Astyanax mexicanus: one gene and its partners. The protein of the gene in region 3 interacts with the protein of the main gene of each other region in a pairwise test. Links are inferred from orthologs where the notes say so. Each region holds a gene or a part of one and is shown on either strand. Other genes may lie near its edges. The genes, in order: eif4a2, spred1 and pih1d2.

Evidence for each region.
Region 1: the proteins of pih1d2 (region 3) and eif4a2 interact in binary tests that used the Homo sapiens proteins (3 or more experiments, as listed by UniProt). The two-hybrid records come from large-scale screens. The link is inferred for Astyanax mexicanus from reciprocal best matches to the Homo sapiens genes PIH1D2 and EIF4A2.
Region 2: the proteins of pih1d2 (region 3) and spred1 interact in binary tests that used the Homo sapiens proteins (3 or more experiments, as listed by UniProt). The link is inferred for Astyanax mexicanus from reciprocal best matches to the Homo sapiens genes PIH1D2 and SPRED1.

Annotation. Positions count from the first base shown.
Region 1 is NC_064415.1:55,387,197-55,395,286, reverse strand, and holds the start of eif4a2 (eukaryotic initiation factor 4A-II), read right to left. Parts: upstream 3,480-8,090; 5' UTR 3,401-3,479; coding exon 3,372-3,400; intron 2,165-3,371; coding exon 2,107-2,164; intron 1,407-2,106; coding exon 1,274-1,406; intron 1,180-1,273; coding exon 1,040-1,179; intron 792-1,039; coding exon 623-791; intron 569-622; exon of another isoform or gene 492-568; intron 409-491; coding exon 299-408; intron 269-298; exon of another isoform or gene 90-268; intron 10-89; coding exon 1-9. Other genes in the region: dcun1d1 (DCN1-like protein 1), read left to right, coding at 4,779-4,781, 6,398-6,611, 6,795-6,963, 7,120-7,250, 7,351-7,433. UniProt on the Homo sapiens protein: ATP-dependent RNA helicase which is a subunit of the eIF4F complex involved in cap recognition and is required for mRNA binding to ribosome.
Region 2 is NC_064421.1:14,570,404-14,578,353, reverse strand, and holds the start of spred1 (sprouty-related, EVH1 domain-containing protein 1), read left to right. Parts: upstream 1-4,669; 5' UTR 4,670-5,511; coding exon 5,512-5,543; intron 5,544-7,950. UniProt on the Homo sapiens protein: Tyrosine kinase substrate that inhibits growth-factor-mediated activation of MAP kinase. Negatively regulates hematopoiesis of bone marrow.
Region 3 is NC_064425.1:3,955,745-3,964,815, forward strand, and holds the start of pih1d2 (PIH1 domain-containing protein 2), read right to left. Parts: upstream 3,617-9,071; 5' UTR 3,229-3,616; coding exon 3,058-3,228; intron 1,505-3,057; coding exon 1,381-1,504; intron 445-1,380; coding exon 193-444; intron 1-192. Other genes in the region: tmprss5 (transmembrane protease serine 5), read right to left, coding at 5,144-5,152, 5,296-5,448, 6,473-6,615, 7,391-7,489, 8,434-8,618.

The DNA of each region.
Region 1 (8,090 bases), on a different chromosome or scaffold from region 3:
CAGCACAACCTGCAGAGAATCACACAGTGCTCATTATGCCACTCATTAGGTTTCCTTCCAGTTTTTTAACAGATCTTACTCTTTAGAATAACTGTTGCACTAAACCTTGAAACAGGGGCCACTGGACATTAAGAAAGAGGTCTGACCACATTTCATTTCCGGTGTAGGGCACTTGCTCTTCTTCCATGTTTTTACTCTGCTAGCATTATCACACGAACCAGGAGAACCTAGATCCTGTAATTTCAGCACAGTTCTTTTGTATGGAAGAAAATCATAAGATCTGATTTACTGAACTCACCTGAATGTTTGTGCTTAATTTCTGGAAAATTTCATAAATCTGATCTTTAAATCCACGACTCAGCATTTCATCTGCTTCATCCAGGACAAACATCTTAATCCACTTAGGAGCTACAGAAAGTGAGAAATGTTGCAGTTGGTTAACTGTTAATACTAAAGTGCAATCTGCATTATAAATACTATGATGGAAATAAGCATGATCAGCAAAATAGTTAAAAAGATATCTCCATGACTTGTCAGTCCCGAAAGATGGTAAACCATCATTTCACACTTAATCCAACACAGAGAAACCTGTTGAACAGCTGTTTTAGATTCAGACACTTACAAAGGAACCTCCTGTTCAGCATGTCAAACACACGGCCTGGAGTCCCCACAACAATGTGCGGGGCTTCTGCTTGGAGTTTCTGCATTTCATTGCGGACATTGGTTCCTCCAATGCAGGCGTGACATGAGGCGCCCATGTAGTCACCCAGGGCCAAGATGACCTTCTGAATCTACAAAAACAAGAAATAAAATAAAAGAATGTCACTTAAAAGAAACTGCTTCACACACTTATACTGAAACTGAACTTCTGCTCCCTGCTAAACACCAAACAAGGAAATATTCTGAAACAAAGTCCATATGTCACCATTTACATAGCAGGAAGAAGATTCAAACTGTACCTTTGTTTCAGTTACTGCCCAAATATGCCGCCTTGGTCTGAGACACACTTAAGTTTATCATGACCTCGGGTACAGCATACCTGCTGAGCGAGCTCTCGGGTTGGTGCCAGGACCAGAGCCTGAGTCTCTTTCTGCTCAATCTCCAATTGCTGCAGGATGGAGATGGCAAACGTGGCCGTTTTGCCAGTTCCTGACTGGGCTTGGGCAATGACATCGTAGCCTGAAAAATATAATACAACATTCAAGAAACTGCAACACAAGTGTGCATTAAATACCGGTTGCCATCCCTTCCCCAATCAGCTTCCCAGAATCACCTTTTATGCAAGGAATAATTGCTCTTTGCTGAATAGCTGACGGCTTCTCGAAACCATATGCATAAATCCCACGGAGAAGAGTCTCCTTCAGGTTCATATCATCAAAATTGTCTGTAATCTCATTCCAGTTGCTCTGCAAGGCAGAAGAATCTGAGTTAAACCCAGTTGAATGAGTTCTTACTTGCATAAATGCTACAAAAGCGTGCTTAGAATTCATAGTCACTGTCACTGTCATTTCATGATTGATGGTTCAACAGAAATTCTTGAAAAAGTCTGTTTGTAACTACTTCCATTGAAAATTGTTTTCCCTGCACTATAAAAGGCTTAAGGCTTAAATTAATATTAACAAAAAAATAAATAAAATAAAACCCACAGAAACCATAATAAAAGTGGGCTAATCCGCTGTGAGGTACTATGAGAGATCGGTATCTAGAACATTAATAATGATCATTAAATCAGGCGTCACTAAAGAATTAAGGTCCTTTTGAGTCTAACTTTAGCAAAGCCCCTTCATTAATCACCCTAGATAAACGCTAAATGATACAAATATTATGCAAACAAGAGACAGTAACAGGTTTGGGTGGAGGGGGGGGGGATTGAGAATGACAACTTTATTTTCTATATTTGCACATCTATCTATCTATATACAGAAGTCTTATATTCTAACAGACTCTTTATTCATTAAACAAGATCACATCTGAAATTCACAACAAACAAAAAGCCTTATCTTCAGCATGGAAAAGACTCTTGGAAGATCCCAAAGGTTTTACCATTGAAAGTGTCAATAAAATGCCTATATTCCTTCCCATTAGTTAGCTAAGCTAGCTAGTTACCTCGATGATACCATCAGGCTCCATTCCTTCTGGCCCCCCATGGTCTCGATCTCTGGAGCTAGAAAACACAAAAAATAAGCAATGCAAACTGGCCTCTTATGATACAGGTTTCTGACAAGACTATCTATTAATCCATCCATCCACGTGGTAATACAATTTACAATTATGTCCACAGGTTGTACAAAAAGTTAACTTTCTTCCTCTCACACACATATTTAGAGCAAATATCATCATGATTACATAAAAGCTCTTACTAAATGCGAGTAATAGAGACTCTCCCAGTGTTGTACTGTGTTGAGAGGGGCTGCGTTCCTTGCATGCCACGTGGATGAAGTGTGCGAAGAGAGCCCAGTCTCTCCCATTACAGTGACACATACCACCACTAATAACACCCAGACCAGCTTTAGTGACCCATCTTCTACAGAAGCTTTCCAGCTCGTCATTTTATGGTAAATTTGAGCAGCTATAGCCATGTTTAGGTCTAGTATTATCTATTTATGCACAGAACGAACGAACACAGTTTACAATTTTACTCCAGATTAGATATTACAAGCCTTGCTTAACTAGTCGGCTAGGTTAATATTACTCAAATATTAAGCTTATAAACTTAATATTAAATATTAAGTTAAGCTAAAAGCTGATTTAACCATATTTGGCTATAAATCTGAAAAACAGGTTAGCCTAGCTTTTAGCTAGGTCGCAGTACTGAGATGCAAATTTGGAGCTACATAAAAAAAACGCTAAAATGGATATAAATTAATATTTCCATCACATTAATTAGAACATATAAAACACATGTATTTTATCACCCAAACACCACAAAGTCGTTTTAAACAGGTTTCATGCTGCTGGTAATTAGTGTTAACTACGTTAGCTAAAAGGCTAAGCTAACTGACTTTTAGCTAGGCCGCAGTACTGAGAAGCAAACTTTGAGCTATAAATACGCTAAATTGCATATTAATTCATTTTCTAGCACATTCATTAAAATATATATAAACAATGTGTATTTTAATACCCAATTAACACAAAATAATTAAAAATAAGGTGTTTTAACCCGGTTTCATGCTGTTGGTAGTTAGCGTTAATTAACGTTAGCTAAACTGCTAAGCTAATAAAAATGCTGGTGTGGCGCAGGCCGCGGTGCGGCGCCACAGCCACAGACCGCCCGTTTAATTAAATAATACACACAAAACCGCGCTATTTATGAGAGAAGATCTTATTTACGCCGTTACAAACCGAATTAGCTTGATATTAAGGCGAAATACCTGTTGTAATCGGCAGAACCGCTAGACATGATCCGTTCGCGACTTCGGCATTCACTCGGAAAGGAGGAGCGAGTGATCCTCCGGCGAATTTATCTAACCGGGACTCCTTTTCTTTTCCCACCGTAACATACCGGACATGCATGAAACGCTGCACCTGTGCCTCTTTCTGCTGTGGATTCTACACCTTCTGCACCAGCTACGATAATGAATAATTTTCAGAGACGATTTAACGCCGTTTATTCCCGTTATTTACAACGAAGGTTGGCAATCTATACGCAGGACTATATCGCGAGGCGCATTGATATTGCCGCAATGTGGAGGCGTGGTGCGGTCGCTACGGGGTCTCCAGCAGTTGTGGCTGGCCTGCTGCTGCTGCTGTACTACTGGCCTGGGCCTGGGCCTGGGTCTGTTAGCTTTCTACTGCTGGATATATGAATTATAAAATTATGACTTTTTATAGGATTTGCATGAATTAGATAGTTCCAGGTAAAGTTAGGACATTTACAGTACCAGTCAAAAGTCTGCAAACACCTTCTCAATAAATGTTTTTCTTTAATTCTTCATTTAATTTATTTTCTACATTGTAGATTCATTAATATGAATGTACAATATTATATACCTTTAAATAGCAAAATCAGAGAAACTGATTCAGAAACGGAAGTGGTCTCTTATTTTTTGTGCATGGTAGATAATGATATCTAGCGCCCTCAAGAGGGAAAAAACGTTTAAACGCATAAATAGTTATTAATTCGTTTTCCCATGTATTTCTGTTCATATTGATCTAATTATTTATGTTATATTTTAGTCATTATTATATTCTTTACAGTACAGGTATCGTAAAGAATTGGTGCCAAATTAAAAAGCAGTTACTGCAAATGAAAGTAAAACCACTTTCATTCCTCCATTCAACCGTTTTTTTGAAATTGTATGATGATAAATGTAAAATGCTAATTGAAAAGGCAGAAAGTTGAGGACATAATGTTGTTTCAACGTTAAAATAAGAACAGACATTGCAGACATTACAAAGGTTGATAATTTTTCATCATGGCATACAGTGTTTTTTTCTCATCTATACAATTTTGAGAATCTCGAGTGTGAGCTATGTTTTATTAAAGGATGAACGTACGACGTCGATTTGTTTCTTTTTTTCTTAAATAGAATACCCAGCTGGCATTTCAACGTTGATGTTATGGTAGAAGTTGCCATATAAATGTTAATTCACTTTATAAAATCAACACTGTTCCAAACCCAACGTTGATTTAACGCTGAAATACCAGCTGGATATTTAGTTAAAAAAAGGAAAAAAGAAAAAAAAAACAGAAAGTGGAGGAAAGCCCAGTGCGCAGTAGCGGAAATAGATGACGGGTCGTGAGGGAGAGCGGAAGAGGGTGTCTGGAGATCACAAACATGGTAAATGAGAACAAAAAATAGAAGTTTATTGGTTTTGTCGGCGGACTGCGCTGCGGATAACCTGATTTACACATTTTACGGGGTGTCTCCCGATGGTCTGCTCTTTGGTTCGGGTGGAGGAAGCGCTGTGGAGGAGGATAAACGCTCAGAAAAGCCGCTGGGTTTACTCTGTTCAGCCCGGTGTTCTGTCGTGTTATGCTACCCGTCGATACGTGCTTCCTAAAGGCACTGCGCATGCGCTGACATACATATTTTATTATTATTTTTCGTGCTTTTTATAATGATTATTTTATTCTTTGTTTTCCTGTGTTTTTGATTAATTTAAATGTCATTACATAAAAGTGTAAATGACAATTAATATTAATAGTAAACAAAATTATTATTTGAAAAATATATAAAGCAGATTCGAATAACCTCTCTTTACCATAACTTTACGCTGAGACAGTGCTTTATGCTATTCAAAAACAGCACATAGACCTCTACTAGAAACATGCTAGCTATAATATTGTGTTATTTTGTATGTTTACCTTTTAAATATACACTAGCGAAGCACGGGTTGACAAGGTAGCACAACTCGGCAGAACACCGGGTTACAGAGTTAACCTAGCTAACTAGCTTACCGGCTAAAGCTCCCCATCTCCACACTGCCCGGAGCGCAGGGGTGTACACCTGAGGGGCTTATTTATACACAGCCCACTCAGGTGTGGAGATGGACAGGAAAGCCCGAGGATGAGGATTAGCTAAAATGGACAGGCCTGTTTTGGTTTCGGATTAAAACGGAGGGCTAGCTAATACTACAATCCAGTTTATCCGAGAAAAATACAACTTAAAACATGTAAAACAGCCCTGGTTTGGTAACGGTTTGTGTGGCGCGGTGGATAACACCACTACCTACTTGTGAGCTACCACATCATTTGGGAGACAGGGGTTTATTTCCCAGTCTGGGTGACTGAACGCTGCCCTACACTAACAAGGCTACGTTCACATTACCAAGCTTAAGTGACTTAAATTATTTTTTTGCTCATTGGCTCATATCTGATCCGATTTTTTCATGGCTGTGTGAACGTGCCAAATCAGATTTTTAAAAATCAGATTGAAGTCACATTGGGTACGTTCACATTACCAGGCTAAAGTGAGTCAAATAGATTTTTTTTTTTTGCTCAATGTGGCTTAGATAGAGCTGTGTGATTGTGCCAAATCCATTTTTTTTTTCAAATCAGATTTGAGTTTCTTCCATATGTGGTCCTAAATCACATACAAATCTAATCCATGAACATGCAACATTAATGTGAATGGTCAAATCATGCAGAATTCATGCATCTTTTGCTTTTATGCATGCACTATGTGCTTCTCTCTCGTACCCACACATCTCTTGGTGCAGCTGTGCAGCTATAGCTGAAAAAAAAAAACCCAGCAAAAGCAAACCGCCTGGCCTGAGAGACGACTTGTAGCTTTATAAAGGGAAATGGATGAGTTAGCAGCTCATATGTGGAGCATCTTTTGCTGGAGTGGAGAGTAAACAGGTGGTCTGAAGTATATGTGTAACACAACATATTATCAATGTTTAATATAAATACACCTTAATCAGCTAATATTGTTTGTGCTTTCCCAAACAGAACAAGCTGAAATCCTCACAGAAGGATAAAGTTCGCCAGTTCATGATTTTCACCCAGTCCAATGAGAAAACCGCACTAAACTGTTTGTCTCAGAATGAATGGAAACTAGAGGTCGCCACAGACAACTTCTTCCAGAATCCCGAACTCTATGTACAAAACCTAAAGGGGTCGTTTGACAAGAAAAAGTTAGAACAGCTCTACAATCGGTACAGAGGTAAGTGCAGGTTTCTAAAGGTGTTTCTACACCAGCACTGTTTAGACTCTTCACTTTTTCTCCAGACTCTGGTCCCTTGATTTCCAAATGAAAAGCTAAATTTACTGATGATCAATGATGGTTTATTTTTTTTTAGAAACTTAATGTGTGAAATTAAAAATGTTTTTTTCGTCACTTTCACAGACCCTCATGATGACAATAAGATTGGTATAGATGGCATTCAGCAGTTCTGTGATGACCTGGGTCTCGATCCAGCCAGTATAAGTGTGCTACTGATTGCCTGGAAGTTTCGTGCTGCAACGCAATGCGAGTTTTCAAAGCAGGAATTCATGGATGGAATGACAGAACAAGGGTGATTTTTCTCTTGCTTTCTTTCGTTTTGTTTCCGGGGATTTATAAAGTGGCATTCAGTTGTTTTCACATGTCTTGAATGAATTATTTTTTATCTCGGTACCTACGGTATTTCTACCGTAGCTTTGAATATTGAATATTCCTCTTCTTTCTGTAGATGTGACAGCATAGAGAAGCTTAAAGCACAATTACCCAAAATGGAGCAGGAGTTAAAGGACCAAGGGAAATTTAAAGACTTCTATCAGTTTACCTTCAACTTTGCAAAGAATCCTGGACAGAAAGGATTGGGTAGGAAATCATTCATTTATTCTGTTAGAGGAAATTTTTTAAGTCATTTTTTTTATGTTCATTAAATTTATTCACCTTGTATTTGTTTGCTTTGTTCTAGATTTAGAAATGGCAATCGCCTACTGGAATTTAGTACTGGCTGGACGCTTCAAATTCCTAGACCTGTGGAACACATTTTTAGTGGTGAGTAAAAATACAATTTGATGCTGCTATTGGAGTAAATGGGTGTCTTGAGTTTTGATTTCATCTCATAAAATAGCAGCAGAATTATTTTCTCCTTAATCTGTTTGGGTTGAGTTGCTTTTATATAGGATTGTTGCAGGTTAATAAATAAGAGCACAGTGAATTTTAAGTGAAAGCATTTGTATGTGTAATTGTTTGTGTGACTGGACATGTTTTTATTTCTCTTTAAATGTCATATGTTTAATTTTAGCAAGGGAAGCAAGAAACCAGGAACTCACTTAGAACTATATTACGATTATGGATGCCTACCCTCTAGTCGAAAGTTCACTGTAGAAGAAAATGGTACAGAAATCCACAAAATAAACTGTATGAAATATTCCCCATCATTAATATTAAATACAAAAAGGACTTCCTTAATAGACAAGATCGGACAATCATGACTAGGAGCCGAATTGGACATGCTCTTGGACTGCTCTTACCCACCACCACCTCCTAGTTGGTGAACAGACTCGAGCGTGCCAATTCTGTGATACTCCTATTATACATCTATTAAACACATCTTAGTTGACTGCTTTCACTTTTAACCACCAGAAATAACTTTTATAGAGTTACAAAAAAAAAACAGAAAGAACAATTTGAAAAGATTCCACCAGCTAA
Region 2 (7,950 bases), on a different chromosome or scaffold from region 3:
CTAGACCTTTTTATTAGTAGTCGAGTAAAAGTATTTTGTTCGATAAATACAAATAATTTGCCAATATGTTTTTAAAATGATTTTCATTATTTCATATGGACTTTTTAAATGTCATTAAACCTACCTAAAATCAATAAACAGTTCTTTAAGTTGTTTTCTTTTTGGTCAGATATTTAATGCCTAAGCTAGTGGGGCAGAATACACTTTCCCCTTTGTCATGTTACCAAAGATAAATAATGCTATATAATTTAATGTGTATTCATTAATAAAGCACATAGCAAAGGCAAAATTTAATCCCAAAAGGTGCTCCAGTTTTAATGCTATGAAAGTAGACAGTATAGGATGTACAAAAACCTAAAGACCATAATGGTCTAGCATTTAAGAACCAAAATTCTCCCAACAGCAGCACCTCTGCTGGATATCTGGGAGACTCCTTCGAGCTAAACATCCTGTTGACCTTCTGTTTGGTATATTTTGCTGTGTGATCAACACAGGAAATGCATGAACATCCATATTTGTGAGATGAGAAAGCAGCCTGACTTCCTGAACTCTAAATACTCAAAAGGATAGAAGCATGCTGTTTAGAAATTTCAAAGATGCTCATTGTCTTTCTGTTAAGGGGAGACAAGGCCTACTTTATTTGAGATTTGTAGCTCATGATGGGAAACTGTATTCTGAAAATAGATGCTCGATATTTTCAGGTAGTTGCTGTTTACACACTTAAGCTCTAATAGAAATACATATTGAAATGTTCTTCTTTAAGTAACAAAGTAAATAAGCTGAAACCTTTATCTGACCTCTGTGCTAGTATCACATTTTGGGGTCAGCTTTTAGGACAGAGATAAAGCACAGTCTTGGACTACACAGATTTGAGGACTAGTATTAATGACCCAGACTAGGATCAATGACAAAATGTCAATAGACTCTGTTGTTGGTGTAGGTCTTTGAGAATCAATTGGTTTGGCCTTCCATATACAAATGTTGCAACTTTAACTTTGCTCTATCTAATCCAAAGAAACACGAAGAAAATTCTCATATATGACAACAAAGCTAAGTCGTATCTCAAGCTTCTCCAAGACACAAATACAACCAAAGAAATCATATTATTTGTGGCTGCCTGTTAGGGTGTAACAAAAATATGGATATATTTTGTTTTAAATGTTTGTATACTGTATTTTCAATTAATACTGTATGTAAAAAAGAAACAGTGGTTTTCCAACATTTTGATTTAAACAATTGCAATATATTGCCTATATTGCCTACTGTTTATATACTGACCATAGACTGTGTATAGCTGGACAGAGCATCGTCTCTTAAAAGTGAAGCCACCACAGGTCGGGCGCCCCCTGCTGTTCGGCTGCAGAAAGCTGTGTAACTCCACCCATCCCCATAGGTTTCAATGGCAAAACAGACAACTTTCAATCACGTTTTTTTCTAATATACTGTAATTCTACCTCCATTATTTAAATGCAACAGCTAATGTAACCTCTGCTTATATTGTCAAATTTTTATATCCCCACAGAATTCGGTTTTTAAAACTTTATTCGGCTCTATTCAAAAAAGGTGTGGTTATGGTAAAAGGGCTGCTTATGGGCGGGACCAATAACAGACCGTCAGCTCCGCTCCGCCCCGCTCTGCAGTCTGTGACCGCGAGGCAGCCCTCAGGGGCGGGGTTATTCAAATGAGTAGGCGGTCTCTCCACAGCCTTTCTCCCTCCTTTGGTCTCTACTGCGCAGACTCTGGTCTCTGAATCGCCAAAATGGCGGAAGATTTTGGCTTCATTTTCATTGAATGAATGGGAACCGCGACACGACGTCCATCTTTATATACAGTCTATGATACTGACATACTGAATTATAAACGGTGTATCATGTCATATCGCCACGTTCTTGACAGTACACAGCACTACTTGCCGACTTTTAGAGGACAGGATAGATGTGATTTCCAACAGTCGAATTTCCTGTAGCCCATATGTGTTTGGTTTCCGAACTGTTCTATATCATATTAATTTATCTTATCCTTTTGTGGACACTCTTCCTCAATATTTCCAAAAATAACATATGTACCTATGGTATGTAAGCTTATTTCAGTTCTGCTTAAATTCAGTGTTAGAAAAGTCTGCCTTTAGTGTGGCATGTACATTTGAAAATCTGGACACACAGCCAGTTTTAGCTCATATGAATTTGTTTTTTAACTACAGTGTTTAAACCTGTTCTATTACCCTTTAGAGGATTATCAGCAGAGGGCACTTAGGCCTAATCCAGATAATCCTATAACCTAATCAAATAAATACTGTCTTTATTTTACAGTGGACTCTACATTTTACTGGTGCGTGTAAAAAAGTTATGGCATAATTTTTTTAACATATATAAAACAGAATAAGGGTCCAATCTCACTCATATGCAGCTTTACATACAACTACATAATGAAACTAGCTCACTTTTGTTTCACTGATTAATGCTCGTTGCTTCTTTTGAGAACTTTTAACTGTCATGGAACAACTGATGGTATATCGGTGTTTCTTTCAAAGAATACAATACCAGTCAAAAGTTTGGACACACCTTAAATTCAGTGTTTCTTTCATTATTTTAATTAAAATTTTCTGCATTGTAGATTAATACTCATTCAAAATATTAAGAAAAACATGGATTTTTTAATAATGTTTTAGATTTTTTTTGATGACAGCTTTGCACATCTTCTCATTGTCAGTCAACTTCATGAGGTAGTCATCTGGAGTGACTTTCAGTTAACTTGTCAAAAGCCAACTACAATAATTTCTTGCCCTATTAAATATGTTTGACACCATCAGTTATGTTGTGAAGAGGTAGAGTTGGCATACTAAATTACCCCTATTTGAGTAATGTTCTAATCCATATTATGGCAAGAGCTAACTACTCAACTTCAATTTTTTTTTTACTTTGAAAGTATCCTTAAGTGCAATCATAAATACCATCAAACATTATGATGAAACTGGCTCTCATCAGGACATGATTCCTTATGTGTTCCTACTTAGTTTGGATGACTTCAGTATGAATTTACTGAATTAATTTTATGTAGGAAAAAAATAAAATAAAAATAAAAATATTGGATAAGAAGGTGTTTCCAAACTTTTGTTTGGTACTGTATATTATGATTAAACAAAATAATTACTTGCAGTTTGTGTTGTTTTTCAGTGTCAAATATTTAGTGTGACATTTCAGATTTTATCAAAAGTTTTGTTTGGAAACAGCATGGGAAAAAAGTGTCAGTAGCATGTAATTAATTATTCGTTTTTTTTTCACATGTGAACGAGAGTAAACCATTAAAATAGATTACAGTGTTAGTAAATAATACACAATCAATGAAAAACACAGCAATCAGCTTTTTTTATTGACACGCCCAAAAACTTGGAAAGTCAGGGCTCATCAAGAAATCCAAGTTTCCCATTGGTAATTACAAGTGTGTGGTGGCATTTATGTGCACTCATCTCGTAAATAAGATATTTCGGACATGACTTGAAGGCAGCATAAGTTCAGCTTAGCCCAGCACTGCTTTAATTCAGTGTAATTCAGAAAGCTCTGTGTTTATGTGGCCTGTAGTTTTGAGAAACTGAGCAGCACACTTGGAAAACACACACTTGCAGATGAGCTCACACAACAAAAAGTGTGAACTTTGAGAGAAGCCATAAATCACAGTCAATGGCTCTTGTCTCTATAAAGCTAGTGCACTGAACTAGGTTAGCTAACTAACTTGAAAAAAAATAGACCACTTAAAACGATGAGATTCTTTGATTTTACCAAATTAAAAACCTCTGGAATATAATCAAGAGAAAGATGGATGATCACAAGCCAACAAACCAAGATGAACTGCTTGAATTTTTGCACCAGTAGTGGCATAAAGTTATCAAAAAGCAGTGTGTAAGACTGGTGGTCAAGATGCGTGAAAACTGTAATCAAAAACCAGGATTATTCCACCAAATATTGATTTCTGAACTCTTAAAACTTTAAAAATATGAATTTTTTTCTTTGCAATTTTTTTAGGTCTGAAAGCTCTGTATCTTTTTTTTTTTTTGCAATTTTAGCCATTTCTCATTTTCTGCAAATAAATGCTCTAAATGACAATATTTTTATTTGTAATCTGGGAGAAATGTTGTCCATAGTTTACGGAATAAGTCAAAAATGTTCATTTTACTCAAACACACACACACACACACACATATATATATATATATATATAGCACAATCACATAGACTGTAGTTTCTGGTGTATATTAACACCATAAGAATGTCTTCTACACATAAACGGTGCTTGCTGTATGTATTCGATGTAGAGCCAGTTGGGATACTTTTTAAGTATTTAAACAAATGTAACTAAAACTAAATATCACGCTAAATGAAAGTGGCGGCATTTGTCTTTATGTCTTCCTTTTTGTTTGTTTGTTTGCTTACTTGCTTGTAAGCATAATGTAAAGCAGAGAGTCCATCACCAGCGTGTGTAGCTTCTCTCGCTCTCCTTCTCCTCGCTTTCAGCTTGGGCTCCTCTGCTGCCTGCATGGCCAAACTTCTTTTGGGAACTGGTATGGGGACTATATGAAATCCTCACTTCCCGTCCCTGAATCAAGCTATTATGAGGGTGGGGGCATGTGGGAAATATTCAACGTTTGTGTTCGTTAAACAACAAATCACGCTAGTTGATTCGGTCTAAAAATGAGTTTGCTGTTTTGTTAATGGTGTTTTATTCGGGTTTCGTCGCGGAAGGATTTCAGCGGAGAAGTCAGGCCAAACGCTTCCGCCCAGTTTTCCGAGGTGTGCATTGCCTGAGTTGAAAATGGAGTTCGTGTAGCAGCACAGATCTTCTGAACTTCCCGAGGAGGAGACTCTGTTAATCTCGCTATTTCTTTAACGCGAATTCGTTGGATACTCAATTAAGGACAGATATTTATCGTTTCGTTCGTTGTTTTTGAGTGCCTGCGCTCGAGCCAGCTAGAGAGTTATAAACAGGAGCAGCGCTGTTTTGTGTTTTCTAGTGTTGGCTGAAACTTCAAGTTGCCGTGGGGAGAGAGAGAAAGAGAGAGAGGGGAGTTATATAGTATAACGTAGCGTAGCTCGATCTCCAGCTAGCCGGCTCACGGACCGTGGCAGATTTAGCTAGTAGCTACCTATCTATTTCTCGCTTTGTTTTGCTTGCAATCTGAAGATCAGGACTGCAATTCTGTCTGGGATTTGCCTGTGTTCGCAGATCGAGGATGAAGAGGACAGCCACTCGTTTCCAAATGGATTTTACTCATTGGGAAGATAGAGATCAGTGGCTGCGGTCGCCGTTCTTATTCTGAACTCGCCTTGTGGGAGAAAACTGGAAGCATGCAGCGCCCCAGCGCTACACAGTTGCTTTGTGATTAATAATAAAACAAAAAAAAACTGGCACTTTCTTTTAATGCGAACGAAAAGAAAATGGTGATATTTGCGGATCGTTTCCCAGCCTTGACTGCGTCGTCGATGCTGTTTCCAGGATTTGGATCCCCGTGAGAAAAAAATGAGCGAAGAATCGGCAAATCCAAACAACGAGTGAGTACCAATATCTCTCAGTTCACAGTTCCTCTGAGCTGCTGGACCCCGAGGATGTCTGTGTGTTTCTGTGTGTGTTTCTTGTGGTCTTAATGCATGACAGAGATCAGAAAATAACTAACTTACACGGGTTTGTTTGTAAAGCGAAGGTTTTAGTAGTTAAGTTAGTTAGCTTGCTAACTTAAAATATATTTCCAGCAGAGCCGTAATGTTATTTTTTTTTGTTTGTTTCTGAGCCAGTTTTATTTGGCTAGTTAGCGTTAGCTTGGATTTAGTTGTTGTCATGGTTATTGAATGTATAGTTGGGTTAATAGCTAAGCTAACGTAGCTAGCTAACTAGCTAACCTAACTAGTTAGTTAGCTGTTTAAACTTGTGTGTGTATATTATCTAGTTAGCTATCTAGCTAAATACCTCTAGCTAACAATGTGTTTTTGTTTTCTTTTTAGCTATCTATCTATGGTTTTCTGAATTAAATTTGCCTTATTAAAAAGGCCCATTCAGATATTTAACGCTGTCTAACCTAGCGTTAGTTGACCATCTAGGCTATCTATTTAGCGAGTATGCTGGGTCGTTTCTAGTTAGGATAGCTAACTAGCTATATTATTTAACAGTAGTTTATTTACATTATTCGATAGCTAGTTAGTAAAATACACGATTTAACCAGCTAACAGTAAAATTTCTGTAGTTCTCTCGAAGCATTCGTAGAAATAACTATCGCTACGTTGTAAATTAGATTTAAGTGGATGGCTAGCGTAAGTAACAAGTTTATTAACGTTGTATCTGATACAAGCGTTACAAAATACACCCGTTTCAAACGAATAAAGCTCCCAAACTGAGCTAGTTAGTTAATAGACACGTCTTTTCTACTCCACGGTTTTGTGTTTTTTGCCCACAATGAAACGCGGTTTCGCCTTATAAAAACATATCCACGATCTCTGGAGCGAGAGCTGAGAGCCTTATTTCGATTTAACAGTTATATGATTTTTTTAAGTATTAAAGAACATGTAATACGTGGCATTTGGTTTCGTTTGCGGGTTTTATTACCGCAATGTCAGGCTGAAAGAAACTGTGCGGACGCCATATTTTTCTCAATCACTCTCATTTGCATATCACAATCCTCATTCATAAAAACGCCAAAATGGCAGTGTTTGTCGCTCAGATTAGGCCCAATTGAGAGTATAAAGGAATATATTCGATTAACAGTGCGAGTAAGGCTGTTTTCGTGCGGATTTTGGTGCTTTTCTCGCCCTCCGTGCCCGTGTTTTTTTTAAATGGGCTGATCGCTTGCGTGCGCTTGTTGACAGTCACTGAGAAAAGCTTCGGCCACGTGACCGCCTCCATTCATAAAGTACCTGGCTTCTCATTCACACTGAGCTGCACTGTACAGTGTGTCTCCACACTGAGCACAGGGGTCACACAGCAGATCACAGACCCAGCAACGACAAATATTCATCTGTTTGACTCTTAGCTATATCTGTACATCTTATTTTAGGCCATTTTTGTCAGCAGCAGTAAACGACGACGTGCACATTCACATTCACGGTTTCCCAGGCTCTCTCTCTGTCAGTATCTAATACGCCCATGTTCTCTTGCCATGTCTCTCCTGTATCAGATCCATTCATGTCATGTAGCTAGGAACTCTGTGTCCTTGAACTAGTCATGTGCTTCCACAAATGATGCCATTCATTCACGTTTCATTTGTCCCTTTTTTACACTGAAGGGAAATCTCCAATAATATAGCACAGATATCTACACATTCCACAGCTATTTATTTATTTATTTTTATTTTAATTATTCATCACAATGCTCATTCATGGTATAGACAGTCTTGTTGACAGTCCTTTTGCGCAATGCTTAGGATCAGCAAATGCTGCTGGTGTGGTGAGGCGGAGGAGGGTGGAGAAGAAAGAAGAGACAGCACATGCCCAAGAAGCAAGACGACACCATCCTTTAGCAAATTTTCCCTCCTCTTTCAGTTAAACAATAAACATCCCCGCTTAACAGTGTGGGTGATATTTGAGCCGCCCAGAAACAAAGGATTATATACATGTCTGTTTGTGTGTTTTCCATTTCTAACAGCGTGTCGCCTCACCTGTGACGCAGTGTTGATTTCGCATTGTTCCAGAAAGTATACATGCATCATCACTTGCTGACAGTCTTCCACATTTTTACCTTCATTCCTGTGATGCTAGATTAGATGCTGGTAGTGATACGCTGATTAAATCTACAGTATGTTTTTGTAATCATGTACCTTTCATTGCAACAAGCAGAGATCACATGATCACTCCTGCTCAAAATCATCCAACAGTACCAGTTAGTATGTAGGATAAGCATCGATTTAGGCCAATGAAGGCAAAATCGTTTGTAGATCACAGTTTGTGACTTATAAGCATTTTGCGGAAATTA
Region 3 (9,071 bases):
TGACGTAGACACAGCGCTTTTCCTGATCAACTTGCTTTTCTGAGGCTTTTCTTTTATTAACTACTGCAGATAATGAAGGTTGAGAAAGTTTAATGTGCCCCTTTAATATAAATCCACAAATGGTGATAATTTGCTTTAGAATAATACTTTTAATAAAAAAATCCTTCATTAATCTGTATGCTGTTCACCTACCAGGTTCTGTTAGTGGTTTGGAGGGGCTGGATTTGTCTTGTTGTTGTTGTGGTGTAAGCCGGCGTATCATATTCTGCACGGTGCCCTTTAGTTTGGTTTTAGTGATCATGACCTGCTGAGACAGACTGAGTTTGTGCTGCTGCTGTATGAAGCTCAAAGCCAGTAGATGGATCTGCTCCTTCTCCTGTGTGTTTTCCTCAGCTCTCTGAAGAACCTCAGGATTAAATGCCACTTCCACTATGGAATAATTTTCTGTAAAATAAGGACAAAGGAAAATAAAGTACAGGAATGTATTTGTTGATTTGAAAAACAGGATAAACTGTGTAACAGGTGCTTGAGAAGAAGAATGTGCTGATACTTTACTACAGTATTGGTCCATACATAGCCACAAACTACAGTAGTTTTTACTATAAACTTTATGGTTTAACTTAGGCTAAGTTCACATTACCAGACTGAGGTGACTCAAATCTGATGTTTTCATGGCTGTGTAAACATGCCAAATACGATTTTTTTAAACCAGATCTGAGTCACTTTCATATGCGGTCCTAAATTGGATATGTATCCGATCAATGGACATGCAACATGAATGTGAACGGTCAAGTCAAAATTCATGCGTCTTTTTGCTTTTACTCATTAGCATTAGCATTAGCGCTACGTGCTTCTCTTTCATACCTACACCCACATCTCTTGGTGCAGCTTAGCAGCTATAGCTGCAAAAAAACAGCAAAAGCAAACCGCCTGTCCTTTTTTCACCTCCTGGACCTGAGCATGAACTTCAGAGCAGCTGTTTACTCTCCACTCCAGCAAAAGATGCTCCACATATGAGCTGCTAACTCATCCATTTCCCTTTATAAAGCTACGAGTCTCTCCTCTCTCTAATATGAGTTTTTTTAATAGTTGTTGGTGAAAAAGGAGGCGTTTATACAGGTATCAATGTGCAGCATGTGAGACGTTTCAGGAACAGATTCAGATTCACTCACATTACACACAGATACAGGTCACTTACATTTAAAGTGAATGTGAACCATCAAGATAGACAAATCTGATCTGAGCAAAATCGGATCAAATTTGAGCAATGTGGCTTAAGTAATGTGAATGTAGCCTAATTATTTTCAACTAAGCTTGAAAGACTGAAGAAAGAATCTGATTACATAATCTTTATTAAAAATATGACAGGAGATTATTTACCATTCTTTTCCTTAATAGTTTCCAGTTTTCCACCACACACAGGAATGGGCTGAGTAGGAGAGGTGGGTGCAGGCACTCGTTTCCATCCACACAAATTTACATACAGTATTCCCTTTTCTGGCCTCTGGAAAAGATCACACACACACAAACACTTTAAATCCTTGAATTCTATGCTTATTAATGATTTTGAGATATTTCCTACATTATATGTTTTATTCTGTAAGCCACAAACCTGCATAATACTATATGTAAAATAATATATGTAAATATAGGAGTAAAGACGTGAAGTTCTAGCTAGAACACATAGTACACACACCTCTTCCCATTCAATGTGTTTTCTTTCTTTTTAGGATTTTTTTTACATTGTAAATGTAACATTGAAGACTGCATTATTATTATTTAGTAAGCAAAAAGTGTTTAACAATTCAGAATATGTTTTATACTTTAGATTTTTCTAAGTAGACATATTTAGCTTTTAATCTAAAAGTTTTGACACTAGCAGTCAAAAGTCAAAAGTTTTGACAAACCTTCTCCTTCAGTGTTATTCTTAATTTCTTCATATAATTTATTTCCTACATTGTAAATTAATATTAAAATACATGAAAACAATTAAGGGACGCATATGGGGCAAAATGAATATGAACCTATTTATTTATTTATTTATACAGCAAGTTAGCCACTCATTTTTTGTTATAAGGAGAGTGTTTGTGCCTGGGGAATTCTAAATGATAAAAAGGGAATAATAGGAACATCTGGTTTTGCACATACTGCATGGGATAAGATAAAATCATAATTTATTCAATTATGATTCGTCATTATGATTGTCTTACAAGTTGGGTTAAACACTAGTGTCTTTAGCTAACTGTTTCTGGAAATGTTTCAAAATAGTGTAAAATAATCTGAATTAGGTGCATACCATATCATATAATATCGCCAACATTTTTATTGAATATTGTGAATGATATTATACCCTGAAATATTGTGCCATATCACCCACCCCTAATTAGCACTTTTTTAGCAAAAGAAAAAATCACACTGTTCTAATTTCCCATTATATATCTACTAGAGACAGATTATATCTGTCCAGTATCATTTATTTTACTTTAATCCTGGATATATGGAGATATCTGGAGTGCATTATTGACTGTTACAAATCTGAAAAATTCTAGTATTTTTTAATATCTCAGTTAGGGGTGTACCATATAATTTAATTTTCATTTTGTTGCAGTAGTGTATTATTGAAATATTGTTTTTTTTTTTTAATTTTGTGTTTTGTCATATTGCCAAGAGTATCGTTATCGTGAAAATATCATAAATTTTGTGATTTTATTTTAGAGCTATATCGCCCACCCCCACTTTAATTCTTCTTAATTCTTATTTTATTTGTTTTATTTACATATTTTATTGATGTTTTATTCTTATTTTATTTTTATTCCCATTTTTGTTCTAATTTCTAAAGCACTTAAAATTATTCTTGTGTAAGAAAGGTGCTATACAAATAAACTTGCCTTGCCTTTAGTATGAGTTCATGCTGTATTACATTACAAACATCTGAAAACTAAGCTTTCAAACTATAAAGTAATCCAGACATGTACTGTAATGACTTTTTTTCTGGCATTTTCGACAGTTTTATAGTTATATTAACAGGTAAATTAAGTTAGTTATTATGTACTATACCTGTATAGAAGTGCTGATGCAGCAGTGCGGCTGTGGAGGGGATAAACAGTCCGCTCCCTCTCGTAGATGCCGCTGAATAAACGTCCTGTAGGCTTCAGGATTATTCTGAGACATGTCGTCTAAAATAGACCAGAACTGGCTGACCTGCTGAAGAACAGCATTCTGCTCCATGGTTAACAGCTTTATTAGAAGGGAGCTTAAACCTTCCTATAGATAAATAACTAAAAACAGCTTTTAGACACGATAATGCAGGAATACGTTACCTATCAAGACTCTACATTAAATTAGCGAACCTGAACTAGTCTCAAATACAGTTATTTATATGCTGTAAGCCTAATAATAACAGAAAAACAACAAAATAAAAGTTACTATCCAGCGTTAACTCGCTACAGCTGCCTGACCTGCAGTTAGTGTTACTTGTTGCCAATAGCAACGAGTCCACTGTAACCACTGTACCACATTGCCCACTAGAGGGCGCTGAATCCTCATTTATACATACTTACATTTCTAAGCTGCACTCTTTATATAAAGATCTGGGGGGGGAAATAAGAGATCACTTAAAAATGATGAGTTTCTTTGATTTTAACAAATAAAAAAAAAACATTTGGAATATAATCAAAAGGAAGATGGATGATCACATGCTTGAATAAAAAAAAAAAAAACTAAAAATCCATGTAAAAACTGATTATAGTAGGCCTTTATCTTACATAAAATGGATGAAAAAAACATTGAAATATCGCACATTTTACTAGCTGAATAACATTTCTGCACATTTTTGCCTTATATTTGTCTGAATTAAGATAGAAAGTATTAAATTATCATTTCTCTGTGTGAATTTACAGTTATAGTGCAGCTAAAACACCAGTAAGAGTAGGACCCACGCAGCCAGATATCTAATTTAAAGTAAATTCAATTTTTTAGATTAAATTATTCAAAATTATTCAAATTCTTAATGCTTTTCCAAAACTGTATGGATGTTTTTATTTTTCCAAAATTTATCCAGGACTGGAAATTGCTATGTTCAAATTCCATTACTTTTTTCAGGTTTTTCATGGCGGTACGAGCCCCGCATGTTTCCTAAAAAAACAGAATACTGTATAATGCAATATTATTAACTCAAATCTCTAATAATGCTAACTGGTAACAATGGTAACAGTGATAATTTGAGATACAAACACTTACTCAACCTTATCCCCGTAAGTGGTTGTTGTGGTGCAGTGGATAACACCACTGCCTTCCAGGTCTGGGTGACTATGCTGTGATACACCAATAAGAGTCCATGGGCAAGACTCCAAACACTACAAGTTACTCTGGATAAGAGTGTTAGATAAATGCCATAAATGTAAATATAAGTGTCAGTAATGTACAATACAGGCCAAAAGTTTGGACACACCTTTTTTTTTTCAATGCGTTTTCTTTATTTTCATGATTATTAACATTGTAGATTCTCACTGAAGCATCAAAACTATGAATGAACACATGTGGAGTTGAAATAACTAAAAACATGTTTTATATTCTAGCTTCTTTAAAATAGCCCCCGTTTGCTATGATTACTGCTTTGCACACTTTTGGCATCATTCTCTCAATGAGCTTCAAGAGGTGGCCACCTGAAATGAAAAGTTTTCAAACAGTCTAGAAGGAACGAGTTTCCAGAAGTGTTTATTTGATCTTGTTGCTCCTTCGTCTTCTTCACTCTGTGCTCCAGCTCACCCCAAACCATCTGGATTGGGTTCAGGTCCGGTGACTGTGGAGGTTCAGCTCATTTTTTGTTAAGTAGATAAAACTCCACATGTGTTCATTCATAGTTTTGATGCTTCAGTGAGAATCTACAGTGTAAACAGTCATGAAAATAAAGAAAACGCATTGAATAAGAGAAGGTGTGTCCAAACCTTTGGCCTGTACTGTATAAGAAAAGCAATTGAACAGGTTTTAAGGTACACAACACAAAGTTTATTACAAACATCTAAATGGAATAGCAAACTGTATATTTTACAATAAAAAAATAAAGCTTGAGGGTGTCTGTAATATCCAGCAAAAGGAGGAATTCCGGAGGTTATGGTGTTGGACTGCAATTTCACTCCATCCTTCAGTAGCTCTGCGTGGAGGGAAAATTATTACACATTCATATCTCATGATTCATATCTCAGAGTTTCAGGAATAAATTCACAGTGATTCACACTGGCTGCACAGCTGCTTAGTCATGTAGAGTACATCACTCAGAACATGACTGTGACCTACCTCTATCATCTCATAAATCCAGCCTAAAAACTCAGCCACTTTGGTGTAAACTCCTGGGTGATTGGGCTCCGCACAGCCTGTTCCCCAGCTAACCACTCCAACCAGTCTCCATACGTTATCATCCTGACAAACCAGTGGGCCTCCACTGTCTCCCTGTGTGAGAAGAAAGACCATCATTCTATTAGCTGCTGTTATTCAAGCATGCACTTCTAAAATCCACTTTTTCTTGTTATTTGTACAATTCTATAGATCTCTCTAAGTTGTATATCGATGCTGCATATGAAACTATTTCTCAACCTCCATTGTCTGCAGAGGTTAGTAAAAGAAAATCCTCAGAAATACAAGTTGATTAGAGAGAAGTAAAGTGTCCACGTCAACCAGTGACTTCATAGCCTCGCCCACCTTGGCTCAGGAACGCCCACAGGTAGAGCATACAGCTTCTGTTTACAGCAGCTAGTTAGCGTTATCTATCTTGTGCAGGTTTAAATCGGATCTCCGGTGGATTCCATGTTTTATTGAGACCTTAAATATACACTAGGGGAGCACAGTTTGACAAGATAGCACAACACGACAGAACACCGGTCAAAACGGGGACTGTTCGCATCAAATTTTATGATATAGAGCACATATAGACTCTGGGGCTTCGATGTGGTGAAACTGCACCAGCACTGAATCACCAAGTCTGAGGTAAGAGTTTAGTAGCGATAATGTTTCTTGGCCGCTGGTCCGCCCAAGTCTGTTGCTAAGTGTTAGCTTTATCTAGGAGTTAAGAGTTAACTTTATCTAGTACTCTATCTAGTGCTATATCTTTATAACTAAGGATGTATATTTGAAAACACTTTATTCTTTGAGTTTTAGAGCTGTAAAATTGACTGTGGGGGTTGGCAGCAGGTACGCGTTTTCTGCTGCAGTGCTGTTAGCCAATCAGAGGCGATATATTTGCATGTATGAATATTTATGAGCAAAAGCCAAAACCTGTCTTTCTTCAGAGACCACTAATCCAGTGAACTAAAGCAGGGCTAAACAGAAACGCCTGAGCACTTTTTTCACAAAAAAACTACTGACATGCCATTCATTTATACTAGACACAACTAGACTGTTTTAAATGAATTTAAAAAGGATAAAATGAGACCTTTAAAGATCTCTTTATAATCTATTGAGTTTTTTAGGAGCTTACCTGGCAGGCATCCACTTTGCCTTCTGTATAACCTGCACAGAGCATACGTGACGTGATCTCTCCATTGTACATGCAGGAGCTGTTGCATTTCTTTGTGCTTATTAAAGGCACTGGAGCCTCTTTTAATGTGTCAGGAATGTGAACTGTGCAGAGAAAAAAATATTGTTGTTATTGGGCCATTCCACTGAATGGGTGCAATTTGCTTATTGTAACTCTTACAAACTAAACTCAATTTTTTAAAACCTTTTTTACACTTTTCAAAAATCTAATAACACATGTATTTAACTATTTAAAACATGTTCTGGTCAAACTCAGGCAGCTTTACTAATTTTTACATTTTTTTAAGGTTTCTAATCTGAATATTAGAATTACATTTTACTTAGTCCTGTTACTAAAACTCATGTGATATTTAAAAAGCATGTTTAAAAGCAAGTCCACTAATTCCTTTGATTATCTCTTAATAAAGTCTACATTTTAAACAAATGGTTGACTGCATGTTTAAATAATTGATATTCATGACAAAAAATACTATATATGCATGCACATTGTATTTTCTAAAAGATGCAAAGCTATTTTCATTTTTTCAAGAAGACCAAAACCTGAACTTAATCAAATTTATCATCTTGCAATTTATTAAACAATAAATAATGATGAACCAAACAGAACTGTGGTTTATACAAACTAATATTTACATGAATAAATCGATAAACCAGAGGACAATACTAACTCCTATCAGGACTGATAAAATCATAATAAACGCTATTTTAAAGTTATTTTGTGTGCACATTTATATATGTAACATACATGGAACATGCCTAATAACACAAATGTAATATTGAAACTTATATCTATATTAGTGGATGCAGATTTGCTACCGGTTGTTTCTATATATGTTTTATAAAGAAATGATTTCTTTACCATCGTCAGGTTGTGTATAACCCCAGCCTGAAATCCAGCACTGCGTTCCTCCAGGAAGGTCATGGTCGTACTGTGGTAGACATGCTGGCCTAATAGTGTCTGAGGTTGAAAGAAAAACAAAATAAACCATAGTGAGAATATTAATATGTATGATTACAAGGATTACTACTCACATATTAGTGCATATTTACACTAATATTTACAATATATTTTAAATGAAATGAAGCCAAGGTCTATAGACAATCACCTTTAAATTCTAATATATATTTTTTAAATTAAATACTATTATTATCTAATAATATAATTATAAAAAAATAATAATAATATTTTAGGTACAAGGGGTAATTTTTAATACTGTGATAAAGATCTGAAATCCATTGACTCTTCTTTAAATCTTTAAATCCCTTAATTATGCCCTCTTTCTCTTAGTACACTTTTTGTACTAAATATTGAGTGTACCAAATGCAAATTCAACACTTCCAATTTACAGCATTTCCTTAATATATTATTATTATTGTGAAGTTACAGAAAGCTGGATCAACCCATGTGAAAAGGAAGTGTACTTAGGAGCACTAAAAGTATGCTCAAATTAGATAAAGAATACTAAAAGTGCATTTTTAATTTAATATACTTAATTAAAATACACATTAAATATACTTTCTCTGTATTTCCATAAAATGTATTTTAAAGGAATATGCTTTGAATTATATGTTGTGTTAACAGAAAATATATGTCTTGGCATTAAATGCTGCTTACAGTGCAGTTTAGTGTATTTTTTTCCAGTAGTATCAATACGTAAGGTGGTACATTTGCAATATACTTCAAGTGTATTAAAAATAAGGTTTAAAAAACACATACTTAAAACTAAAAAGGAAGTCAATATTAATGTGCATAGATTTAGAATGGGGTGTAATAAAAGCTTATAAAAGTGTAATGCCTGGGTGTCCTAATATATTTGTCCATTTAGTGGAAGAAAAGTGAAAAATAATTACAATTATAATGAACAAAACACAAAATTGATGGTACATATGTTTAGTTCTCACCTGAAAAATTCAACGGTGTTCTCAACTTCATCAGCGCAATATCATTATCATGACTTCTATGATTATAATTCTTATTGTAGATGATTTTCTCCACAGCATATCCTGTATACTGAGCCAGTTTGGCTGTATTTCTTGTAACAATCCCAGCATAGACCACCCAGCTGGAAACCTGAGGTAACCTGTAGCTGAAATTACAAAAATAAAGCATGGTAAGTTTATCTGATTGAACACAAGTGAAATTAGGAAAGTTTTAGGAACTGAAAGATCTCCCTGGTGAAAAAAAGATATATACTTAATTGTACTTAAAACATATTGAGAAATGTCTAAGTATGCTGTAAATATAATAACAGATTTATGTACTTACTTAAAATATATTAAAAGTACATTAACATTATGCTTTCATCAAATGTTGTAAAGTTATCTTTGATCATACTTTTTAAAAACTACAATATAGTGTATTTAAAATAAATAGGTTAATACAAAGTACACTTTTAGTTTAATGTAATTCTATATGCTTCTAAAATATTATTTACAAATATATGTTTGTACATTTTTAGCAAAGTGTGTTAAAAACAACTGTTACAGTAGTTTACTTAAAGTGCAATGTATCATGTAACTTTATAGAAAATAATAAAATT